2 linked regions of the Caenorhabditis elegans genome follow. The protein of the gene in region 2 interacts with the protein of the main gene of each other region in a pairwise test. Each region holds a gene or a part of one and is shown on either strand. Other genes may lie near its edges.

Region 1 (7,180 bases), on a different chromosome or scaffold from region 2:
TTCGATTTTATTCACTTTTACCAGAAGTTTCAGTTTTGTTTCTGAACAAAAAATATTTTTCTAGCAAGAATGTGTGGAAAAATCCGAGAAATTATCGAAATAACGGGAATCTGCGGGTTATTGTACTTATTAAAGACGCACATCTTTTTTCTCGCTTTCGAATCATTTTTTCTTTTCAGACCTACCTTCTTTCGGCTTCATCTTCAACTGCTATTATATCCTCTGGCTCATCGATCATTCAATGATGTATTCCAGATTCTGAATCACAATTAATTAGCTCGAATTTTAAGAAGATAAAAAAAATTTAAAAATCTGAATTTAAAATATACTAATATGCAGGATCCTGGCCAAGACGTGTTTCGGAATGAATGAATAAAAGCCAAGCGGCATGTGCTCCAAGATATGAAATCTCCAGGGGCCATCTATAAGGCTCCGCCCATGTTTCCTTTTTCTCACTAATCTCATCTTTGTTTCTTTGTTTTTAGAGAGTTCAAAGACTTAAAGACAAGTAGGGTGTAATTTCATTTGAACCCCCTATCGCATTTTCTAACAAGAATAAAATTTGAATTTTCAAAAAAAAAGAAAAAAGTAATCGTAACGTTACTGTGGGGGAATGACCATTCAAATGAATGGTGAGAATAAAAGGGGAAAGGGGTATCGGATAAGAATGGCATACAAGTGATTTCGGGGAAATAATAAAAGTCAAGGAGCAATGGTCACACAAGCCTCGGGGACAGGAAGATGATAATGACGATTTGGGGGGAAAAATACACCTGTGGTAAATGGTAAATCAGTATGATACAAAGGATCTGGTCGTAGTTGTGGATGGTGATTACGGTAGTTTCGGTTGTTGTAATTACAAAAACGAAATGAAAAACTACGGGTGAAAACATGAAAAATGTAAGAGGGAGGGAGCTGAGAGCAAGCAAGAAATAAACCATCAAAATACACCGGTGAGCATCTGGAGGTATGAAGCTCGGAAAAGAGTGAGAACGAATTATTTATCAGTCGGAGGAGAGATTCGAGTTATCAGTTACACGGGTGCGGGGAGTTTCAGATATCGGTGACACGATATGAAGATGTTTTTGAGCGAGGTAGTTCCTTTTCCGAATGAGCAAATCCGGTAGCCTGACGGCGCATCGACGTGTTTCGTCCGAGTATGTTGTGTCGGCCGCCGAGGAACGTTGTCGAGGTGAGGCGAGAACTGAAATAACTAACAGGATATGTTAGATGTAGAGTGTCAATTTGGCATTAACTCATGGGAAAATATGGTCAATGAATGAGGCAACACGCCTTCAAGATCCGGCCGAAAAGAAGATCTACTAAAAGAAGATCTACTAAAAGAATATCTACAATGTGAAGATCTACGGCTTCAGGATCTGGCACCGTGCCAATTAGAAATTTTCGTGGTTTTCTCGAAGAAAAACGTGACAACAAAGGAGCATCATTGTTAAGTTTTTCTTCGATAAAACTACGAGTATTTCTAGTTGACACGGTGCCACATCCTGAAACCGTAGATCTTCAAATTGACTTTTCGGACAGATCTCGAAAACGTGTTGTCTCCGATAAATCTGTGGGGTGCATTGACGTACCGAATTCCTCGCTTTGGCGTCGATTCAGATTCGCTTTGGCATCCAGGCAATCCGCCGACTGACGTCATGTTTGCGAGAGCTGCTGGATCACACGAAACTCTGGGAGACTGCAGAAATGTCGTGTTCTCGTCTGAAATTAGTGAATCAAATACAATTTCAGAAGAAAAAAAAATAAATTTTCTAAAAACGCACTAATTTGTCCCAAGTTATTTCGACTCTGATTTCTGCCAAAGCCCAGCGTGGTGGCAAGTGTGAGTTGAGCATTACTGAACGCTCGTCGCATTCGACTCTGTGACTGTGGTGGTGGCATAAACGACTCATTGTGTGACCATTCCTGTAATAAAAGTTTATATATAAGCATTCAAGTTAGGTGTAACACTGTGGACAATTTTAATTTCTCCACTCATGTATCAAACTTCATTTCTCACGTTTTGTGTAGATCGTTCACTGACCGTAATGTTCATCTGACTGCCGTGTCCATATTGTGGTTTCGCTCCGCAAAGACTGAAATTTTGATTTTTTCTAAAGACTTGAAACCTGAAATAAGCCTACTTTCTAAAGTATCGAGTTGTCATATCCGAAACCATCGCATCGTTGATCTCATTCATATCTGATGGATCCGACGAGTAGAAGAATCTCCCACAATCACTCAAGATCTTCACATGAATATCGTCGAGAAAATCTCGAACCTCTTCATCATCATTCGATTCGAAGACTGTGTCAATGTCACCACCTTGCTCGTCACGATGAATCAGGCACCATACAAACACATTTGGCTTTGTGCTTCCGTTCTGCTGCTGCAACTCCAGACACTTCGCAATCTCGTCGGGAGCACGAATTCGGAATGCACTACGCATCGTGTTCAACTGTATCTGGTCAATGTACCTGTAGGGGCGACGCTGTCTCGAATGTAAACTGGCAAACGACGCGTGACGAGCTAGACGTTGCATTGTATTCTTCTCGCTGCGTATTTTCGTGATCTGAAATTTCAGAATTATTATTCAAAATAATTATTTAAAGACTCTCTTACAATTAGCACGTCATGAAATAAAAATAATTTCATTTTCGCAAACTGCTGTAGACCTGGCGACGTACTTGCAATCGGAGAAACGACCAACTCTCGTATGAACATTCGATTGGCAGCCACCAAAATTGGCTGTAAAAAAATTATTTTAACATCTGTTCAACAAATTTCCGCGCTTACTGGAACATTTTCAATGTCAGTGAACTTGCTCAGATGGGAAATGAAGTTGTCATTCTTTTCACGAGTTTTGTTGGCGGTTCTGAAAAACAAATGAATTTAGAAAAATAAAATTTAATTATGTTGAAAGTACACACTTCAAAACTTCGTCAATCGCTTTTGCGGCCTCTTCAGCATTGTTCTTCAGCTTTGAATCGGATTTCTTTGCCATTTCTTTGAGTAAAAGAATGACACTTGGAAGACGTTGCACTGGTTTCACCATCAAATCCGTCAACTTGAGCCGATGAAACTCTGGATTACTCTCTTTTGCCTTGCAAAATGTGTGAAATTTAGAATTCTCTCGATCCTGTTTATCGAATAACCGTTTGATTGTGTCATAAGAGTTGATGTACTGAGGATATGCCTTCTTCATTTCTTCTTTTGCATCAATCCACACTTGTGCAAAGTCCAGATTCTTATCATCGTTCTTTTTTCCATTTACGACCGTCAAAAGTGTATTCGCTTCGTTTGACATTACTGTCAGTCTGGCGAAAATCCTTTCGTGAAGTTCGAGAATCGGATCCAGCTTTCCAAACATCATGGCGACATCGGATCTTGACATGAACTCGTTGTGTGAGATCTCACATTCCAGAGCTTCTTTGAACTGCAAAAATATTCATATCAGAAAATGGAGACTTTTGAAATCAATGTGCAAGTGCGCTCCAAGGCAAAATGAAAAACGATCCGCCCCCAAACGTTGGGTATCGTTAGGAATTGGCACCAAAAAAAAGAGGTAAGTTGTTATGTTTACAAGCATTTTTTAAAAACTTTTTGTAATGTTTTCTATTGTTTTAGTTGAAAAACGAATAGTTTCAGTTTCGACACAAAAATCATGGAAGCAACAGAAGACACAACCAAAAACGCTAAAAGTTCTTGGAAACTTCTGTTTTTCTTGCCAAAACCTAACGAGACCCAACGTTAATGGGCGGAGCTATTTCGTTTAGCCGTGGAGCGCGCTTGCACCTCGCGATAAGTCAATATCCAACCTTGACAACAAGCTTCAACAGTGACAAGTAGTTCTTCTCCGTCTCCACCATCTCCATACAAACTCTGAGCCGTTTCGATGGTTGACGTGGCGATTTGCACGAGTTCTCCACATCATCATTCGAGTATATGTAGTCTGGTGTCATGTTCAACGAAGTTGGTCCTTCAACACTACAGTCACGCATTGATGACAAAGATCTCGAATTTTGGGAGCGAAGAGATTTTCCAATCGGGCTACTGACACTACTGCTTTCCAGTGGTTTTCTGTGAAGTTTGCCAGTTGGAAGAGCAAAGTTATCCTCTATAGCACAGCAACCACGGTGCAGGCTTACCCAGAACCACTGTAAATTGAGAAATGAATATTTAATTTAATTTTCTTTTTTTGAAAATTGATTTTTAAATCCTTTGAATTACCTCTTTAGTGACGTGAACTTGATTAGAAGACACTGCTAATGTCTCAACTTCGTCATTATCAGGATTATACACAACATGAGTAGCCAACGTGGGACTCGGAGCAAGTTTTCCACCTGTATTCTCCAAGCTTCTGAGCATGTCATCTATCTCAGTTTGTTTGAAGCCGTGGAAGAATAGGCTGAGTCCTTCAAATACGCCAAGTCTATGCTTATCTACCTGAAAATTGGCAAGCGATGAGAAAATGACTTTTATAGAGAGAATTTTTTACAAAACATGGTTCCATCACATCAAAATACGAGTCATCACGATGTTTCCAGCATTCTGTGACCCAATCTGCTCGCATCGTAGGCACACCGACTAGTGAAATTGACTGAAAAAATGAGAGAATACAATTGTTTTATACTTGAATGTCATAGCAGCCACAAATTTGGAAAAAATGTAGGGCTTTTCCAAAGAAATAGTCCGAAATATATAGCACTCACCTGAACTTTGGCTTCAACTTTCGCTGCGATGAACACATTTGTTCGTGATACTGTCTGAAATTCAATTATTGTATTTTTATAGCTTTCAGGATCGTAGGTAACTTACATCTTTCCTCACACTACCGCCCATATAATGAACCAAGTCAACGAGTTCTCGCTTATTTGGTACTTCTGCTGCTAACTTCATTGTTACATCTTTCATAAGCTCGCAGTAGAGTGGTCGGGCAGCTCGCAACGTCATCAAATCCTGCAATTTTTCAGTGAAACTGGATGAGACCTTGCGCCGAGTTTACCTCATTTTTCAGTAGCTTATTTTTCAACACGGACGCCCCAATAATAAAGAGTGCTTGCGTTTCCTGATGTTTTGTTAGTGTTCGAAAGAGGTCAGAATCAAAGTTTCCACAAAAGAATGTGTACTCGCTCCAATCTCCACTCAGGTCATCCAACGAGTCGTATTGAATAATATTTATATTTCGCTTCTGTAAATTATCATTAAATATTTAATCTTGCTAATTCGGAAATTCTAATAACTCAAAACAAACCTCTTTTTGCTCTTCAAGCATCTCGAAAATATCTTTAAAATCATGAACATCTTTTTTCGAAACAGCCAGTTTTTGAATAGTTTTTATTCGTTTTTGTGGTGATTGCAACATTGAGACGTCCATCTCAACTCGCAATCTTGCTTTATCACTGAAATATCAAATGTTTATTGGGATTCATGAGGGGAAATTGGAAAAACATTGCGAAAATCAGGTTTTGGATTCAAACAATCAGCTGTTCGCGCCGGTTTCGGTGCGAACACACTCACGCAAACATGCACGGATTTGCGCATGCGCAGCTAGCTGTGAAAGGGGGAATATGTGTAGAAAATTAGCATTAAATGGGCGTTAAACGAGTAGAACGATTTTTTAAAAATGAAACTGAAGATTGAGTTGAATTGATAAATGAAAACTAATTTGAATACGAAATTCTAATTGCGCTGATAAATAGGATATCTATAAAATCAAACAATTCAAAATTACTGATGAATCATTCAGAAATTGCTTTGAAATGGACTGAATTTGTACAAAACGTAAATAAAAAATCCCAAAAGAAACAAAAATGTGAACATTAAAGGAACATTTTCGCTCAGAAGGCAAGGGTCTTGCAGCGATTCATTGCAAAGGGTACGGTAGCCGATTCAAACTAGAAACAGTTTTTCTATCTAATTTTTTTATTTCTCTTTCATTCCCAAAATTGTATTTTTCCTGTTTTTTAAAAGTTGATGAGTTTAAAAATTAAACATATTTTCTCAACTTGATTCCCTAAAAAGTGGCATAAGAGTGAAAACTCACCGTTCGGTATGCTTTAAAAATCAGAAAATAGATTTTTGATGATCACAAGGGATTTTTATTTTTATTAAATGTCCGTGCTCTAGATAATTGTTTTAAACTTGAAAAAAAAGTTCACTTCTAAATTCTTCAGGCTTCTGTCGAAAATTAAATAAGGAGCTTCAAGCTGAGAAAAAAAACGAAACTTGTTCTAAATAATATTCAAAGGAGACTCTGCAAAACAGTAGCTTTTGTTTTATAACTTTTTCTCAATTTTCTCGAGTTTTCCGACATTTAACTGTGATTTTCACATTTTTCCGCGGTTTCACTCCTGTTCTCCAAATTCTTAAATATCGAATTTTTGCGAATTTCGAACTTTGTCTCTTTATTCTCATAATTTCTATGGATTCCGAACAGGTGGTGTGTTCGCTTCATTTTTGTTGAGACCCCACGCCACCTTGATGACCTCTTCCCCTTCGTGAACGACAGATAAACCAAACACAGAAAGTAATGCTAAGAGCTCGACCTGCGCCGATGACGTCATCAGAGGTTGCGCGAATCTAACAATGCACACGGTTATGGGGGGGGGGGGGGGCGGGTCACAATCGTGTGATGGCACACATCTGTTCGGAGGAGAAGACGTGTGCCAACAGATTATGCAGTTAATGTAGCAGAGTTTTTTCGTAATTTTAATAGTTTTTCGAGCTACTTTTTAATCTTGAAAATTAATTAACTAGGAGCCAAAATTAAATCAAACCTTTGCAATCATCCATGACAAAGACGGGGAATTTTTAATAAATATTAAGTTTTTTTTTTCATATTTGCGGCGGTCCTTATCTATTTATTTAATTAACATATCTTCCAGAATATATATTTCGAACTCTTTAGTCACCACTCTCTCCAGTCGTTAGAAATGTTGCGCCAATTTCTTCCTCCTTTTTCTTCCTTTTCTCTTCATCCCCCTTTAGTACCACCTAGTCACCCCATACCGTTGTCACCATCTGTACACTCTGCGGGAAGCACAGTCTCTATCGCGATTTGGCACAGTGCCAACATTTTGGGCGGGAAATGGGCAGCTGTTGCACCTAGTCTGTCTTTGAGATGCTAGTACCATACCAGTCATTTTATGCGCGCGCGAACGTTCAAACCCCTCTGTCT
Region 2 (3,525 bases):
TTCTATCGGCATTTGTGCTGTTAGCCGGTGGAATCGTAAGCATTTGAAAATAAGCCTTAAATTTGGTTCTTAAAAATTTCAGATCGTCAGCGTCATTGTTCTTGGATTTGAGCACATTTATTGCATGCACCTTCGGAAGCCTCTACAAAAGATTGATCCGAATGGTTGGTGTGGAATTATCAGTATGGTAAGTGATTTATTAATTTAAAAAATCATTTTTTCTTTATTTCCAGGCTATGGGAAAATCTTTGACATTCACGGAAGCTGTTGATCGAGTTCAAGAATGGAGGTCGAGGACACAATCGTTGGCGAGTACGAATTCTCCGCAATTAAAACGACGACGATCTGCGAATTTGTGAGTGTTAGGAAATTCCATATTTAAAAACAAAAAGAAACAACTTCAGAAGACCAACTGAAGAACCATTCAATCAAGATCTGAACCCGCCAAGAAGAAGCCCCCGTTTTTTGCAAGTCGAAACCAATCTTTGAGCTCGTGATTTCCAGATAAAACATTTCATGATATTAATATTATAAATTAGAATTCGAGATACACGAAAAAAGAGGAAACCGTCGAGTTTTGCATAAAATCATGTAAATTATATGATACCGGAATGCAGTTAAAACTATTTGGAACTAGTTGAGATAAATAGGAAATACATAAGAACCAGTGCGGGGAACCGTAAAAATGGGGATAAAATGTGCTTTGGGTTTGGGAAATTATTGGCAGTATTCGTGGCCTTCGTCGTAACCATCATCGTAACGCGCAGCATTTTCGTAGTCATATTCATTCTCGTCGTTCTCGCTCTCATCCGGCGAGTACTCATCGTTGCTCATTTCGATATCCATATTGATCATTCTTGCCGGAACGAAGTATCTTCCTTGGGCGTTCGGGCGAATTTGACGAATACTTTCGTACTGGACCTTCTCTTTCTTTGCGGCTGGTACTGGAGCGGTCGACATGGGCGATCCTGAAGATCCAGTGGTGTTGGAAGGGACCATCTCGGCAGATCCGTTGGCTGCGTCCGATATGGCAACTGGAACTGAAGCACGAGTTCGGCGGATTTCCTCAATACGCTGTTGCTGTTCCTCAATTGGCGCACAATAAGTTCTGAAATCAAATGATTTATTGTGAATTTCTCGATTATCTTTCTTTTAGCTTACATGACGAGTTCAGCAACCCACGTTGGCACAGTACACTTTCGATTGTAAAGTTCAAAGCTGACGACCTTAATTTGAATTTTCTCTAAAATCGACACGACAATATCGATGAAAACTATTTTGTTTTCCTTGTGTGCCGACTTTTCAATTCCATGGAGCATCCTCGGGAAAGCTTCCACGTTGGACGGGAGTCCGTAGAAAATATACTGTAAATATGTTGATTGCTTTCTAATTACTGATTTTTAGAGGTTATACCGAGTCCGCGAGTGGCAAATCAACTTCATCAAATGCATTGTAGCTGCAAACTGCGAGTCCATTGCGATGGAACTTTGTCTTTTCTTGAATCCCACCATCGGGCATTTCTGTCAGAAACATAGACGATTCCATTCTCTGCTTGTTCAGCGTCAGCTTAATCTTGCGAGAATCGTCGTGCTCACAGAGGATAATCGTTGTCTCTAGAAAAGAACTAGATTTTTAATTTTAAAAAATGGTTTAAATACCTTTTCGTCCAATATAATCGCGAATCGCATCGAATTTTTGTTGAACGGACGAATTATCGGCTTCCGCCATCTTGTGAACTTCCATCTGGAGTCCAGAATCAAAAGTGTCGCTGTTCTGCGACATACTTCCCGTCTATTAATCTGTAAAACTGCAAAATAAATAAAGTATTCGAAAAATCATCAAAAATGATTATTTAAAATAGGTCATATAAGATATTGAAAGATAAATTGAATGAAGCTGTAACCATAGGATTCAAAACAAGAAATATGAAACACGAATTCAAAAAACATTGTATGTTACAAAAAAAAACAAAATACAAAAAGTTTAAAACCAGTAAAATTAAGAATCGTGTGAATGGGACGGAAAGAAACAAATAAATCAGCACAAAGATGGGGAAAATAATTTTTGAGAAGTTGGAAGAAAAATACATATTTAAACAGGAACAGCTGATGTTGCAGTTGCAACAGCTGCAGTTGTTCTCGATTGTCGATCCGCCAGGTATTTTTGGTAAAGATCGCGGAACCACGTGGGCGCTCGTGTTTTGTTGCATTCGAGAAACTGAAAAATTATCATGATTGTTTGAATCTTTCGATTTTGAGAAAGAAAAAGAACCTTTAAATATTCGCGAACGAGGCGAAAGTCCTTATTCTGGTCGATAATCATGTATAACTTCAGTTTCACTCCAATAATCGAAGCGAGGTTCTGCAACTCCGTCTCCATAATTGTTTGAAAATATAGTGGATGCGGAGAATCAAACATAACGATAGTGTCGACGGCGCCTCGGTGAACAGCGCGAATTGATCTCCAGTCGATCACAAGCACATCGAGATTACCCGTGCGAAACTCAAAGTTTCGTTTTTCCACATCTTCTTCGGAGTCGCATCTGCAAAAAAATAAATATGGAATAAAAAGGACACTATTTAGAATTGAACATACGTTGTAATTTTATGAATATTATAACGAAGGTTCACAGCTAAAGTTTGCATTTTCAGCCTCAGGTACATCATCACACGAATACATGTTTCCGTCGTTCGTGTTATGACGAGAATGCGTTCACGGCGGGGTTCTGAGAAAAATTTTATACCGAGTTTATAGTTCATATCAACTCACTGTCTCTCCGTCCAGATCTACCGTTATCTGCCGCTCTTGCATCTCTTTCTTTTTTGATCAACATGGTTAGTATCTTCAGTTTTTGTGTTGATTCGGTCAAATATTGCTGAAAGAATGAAAGATTAATTCAAAATTTAGACTCAGTAGTTACCGAGACAATTGCGGGACTTATATTATTATTCTCAAGTGTGCTCTCCTGGGTCGGAAGTAGACTAGCAATTTCACTGATAGGACGTACCAACTTGCATTCGATATTGGAAAATACATCACGAACTCTGGAAACATTCTAAGAATAGCACAAATTTTGCGAATATTGCTCGAACCTCGGATTATCAGCTTCAATGAGCACAGGTCTTTCCATTTTACCTTTGCAAAACTCGAGTGTTTCGGTTAACGAGGCAACTGAACTTGAGAAATGATACGCGAAGATGAATCGTGTCAAAGAACTTTCAAAAGTTTGAGCGAGACGTCCGAGTGAGTCGGCAAACTCACTGTTCCCCTTCAACTTCTCGGCATTATTAATGATAACAAAACGTAGAACAGATATAAAATCATCCAACTGTTCCATTTCATTCTTCAGCTTATCGATATACTCTTTGATTTTTTTGAATGAACCAATGAAAACTCTAGATCTATTCGATGTCATGAATTCATTTGACAGCTCAGTTGTGTCTAGATTTGTTATATGTGTATTTGGACGAGTGGAATTAGAACTTCTTCTCTTGTTGAGTAGGCCTCTCATTACAGATTTCGAGC

Evidence for each region. The genes of interacting proteins can lie anywhere in the genome.
Region 1: the proteins of hrde-2 (region 2) and ect-2 interact in a two-hybrid assay, tested with the Caenorhabditis elegans proteins (one large-scale study listed by BioGRID).

Annotation. Positions count from the first base shown.
Region 1 is NC_003280.10:10,777,889-10,785,068, forward strand, and holds ect-2 (Protein ECT2), read right to left. Parts: upstream 5,406-7,180; 5' UTR 5,378-5,405; coding exon 5,255-5,377; intron 5,192-5,254; coding exon 5,006-5,191; intron 4,960-5,005; coding exon 4,819-4,959; intron 4,767-4,818; coding exon 4,713-4,766; intron 4,601-4,712; coding exon 4,499-4,600; intron 4,447-4,498; coding exon 4,231-4,446; intron 4,158-4,230; coding exon 3,819-4,157; intron 3,437-3,818; coding exon 2,931-3,436; intron 2,876-2,930; coding exon 2,797-2,875; intron 2,749-2,796; coding exon 2,623-2,748; intron 2,573-2,622; coding exon 2,145-2,572; intron 2,097-2,144; coding exon 2,021-2,096; intron 1,927-2,020; coding exon 1,785-1,926; intron 1,723-1,784; coding exon 1,593-1,722; intron 1,205-1,592; coding exon 1,054-1,204; 3' UTR 501-1,053; downstream 1-500. Other genes in the region: mpz-1 (PDZ domain-containing protein), read right to left, coding at 186-238.
Region 2 is NC_003283.11:15,003,376-15,006,900, reverse strand, and holds hrde-2 (Protein hrde-2), read right to left. Parts: upstream 1,802-3,525; 5' UTR 1,783-1,801; coding exon 1,659-1,782; intron 1,614-1,658; coding exon 1,414-1,613; intron 1,365-1,413; coding exon 1,162-1,364; intron 1,109-1,161; coding exon 718-1,108; 3' UTR 501-717; downstream 1-500. Other genes in the region: nmr-2 (PBPe domain-containing protein), read left to right, coding at 1-35, 83-187, 234-355, 405-489; mut-15 (MUTator), read right to left, coding at 2,092-2,217, 2,272-2,542, 2,596-2,725, 2,770-2,875, 2,921-3,044, 3,093-3,525. UniProt on the Caenorhabditis elegans protein: Plays a role in germline RNA interference (RNAi), and in particular is required for piwi-interacting RNA (piRNA) gene silencing.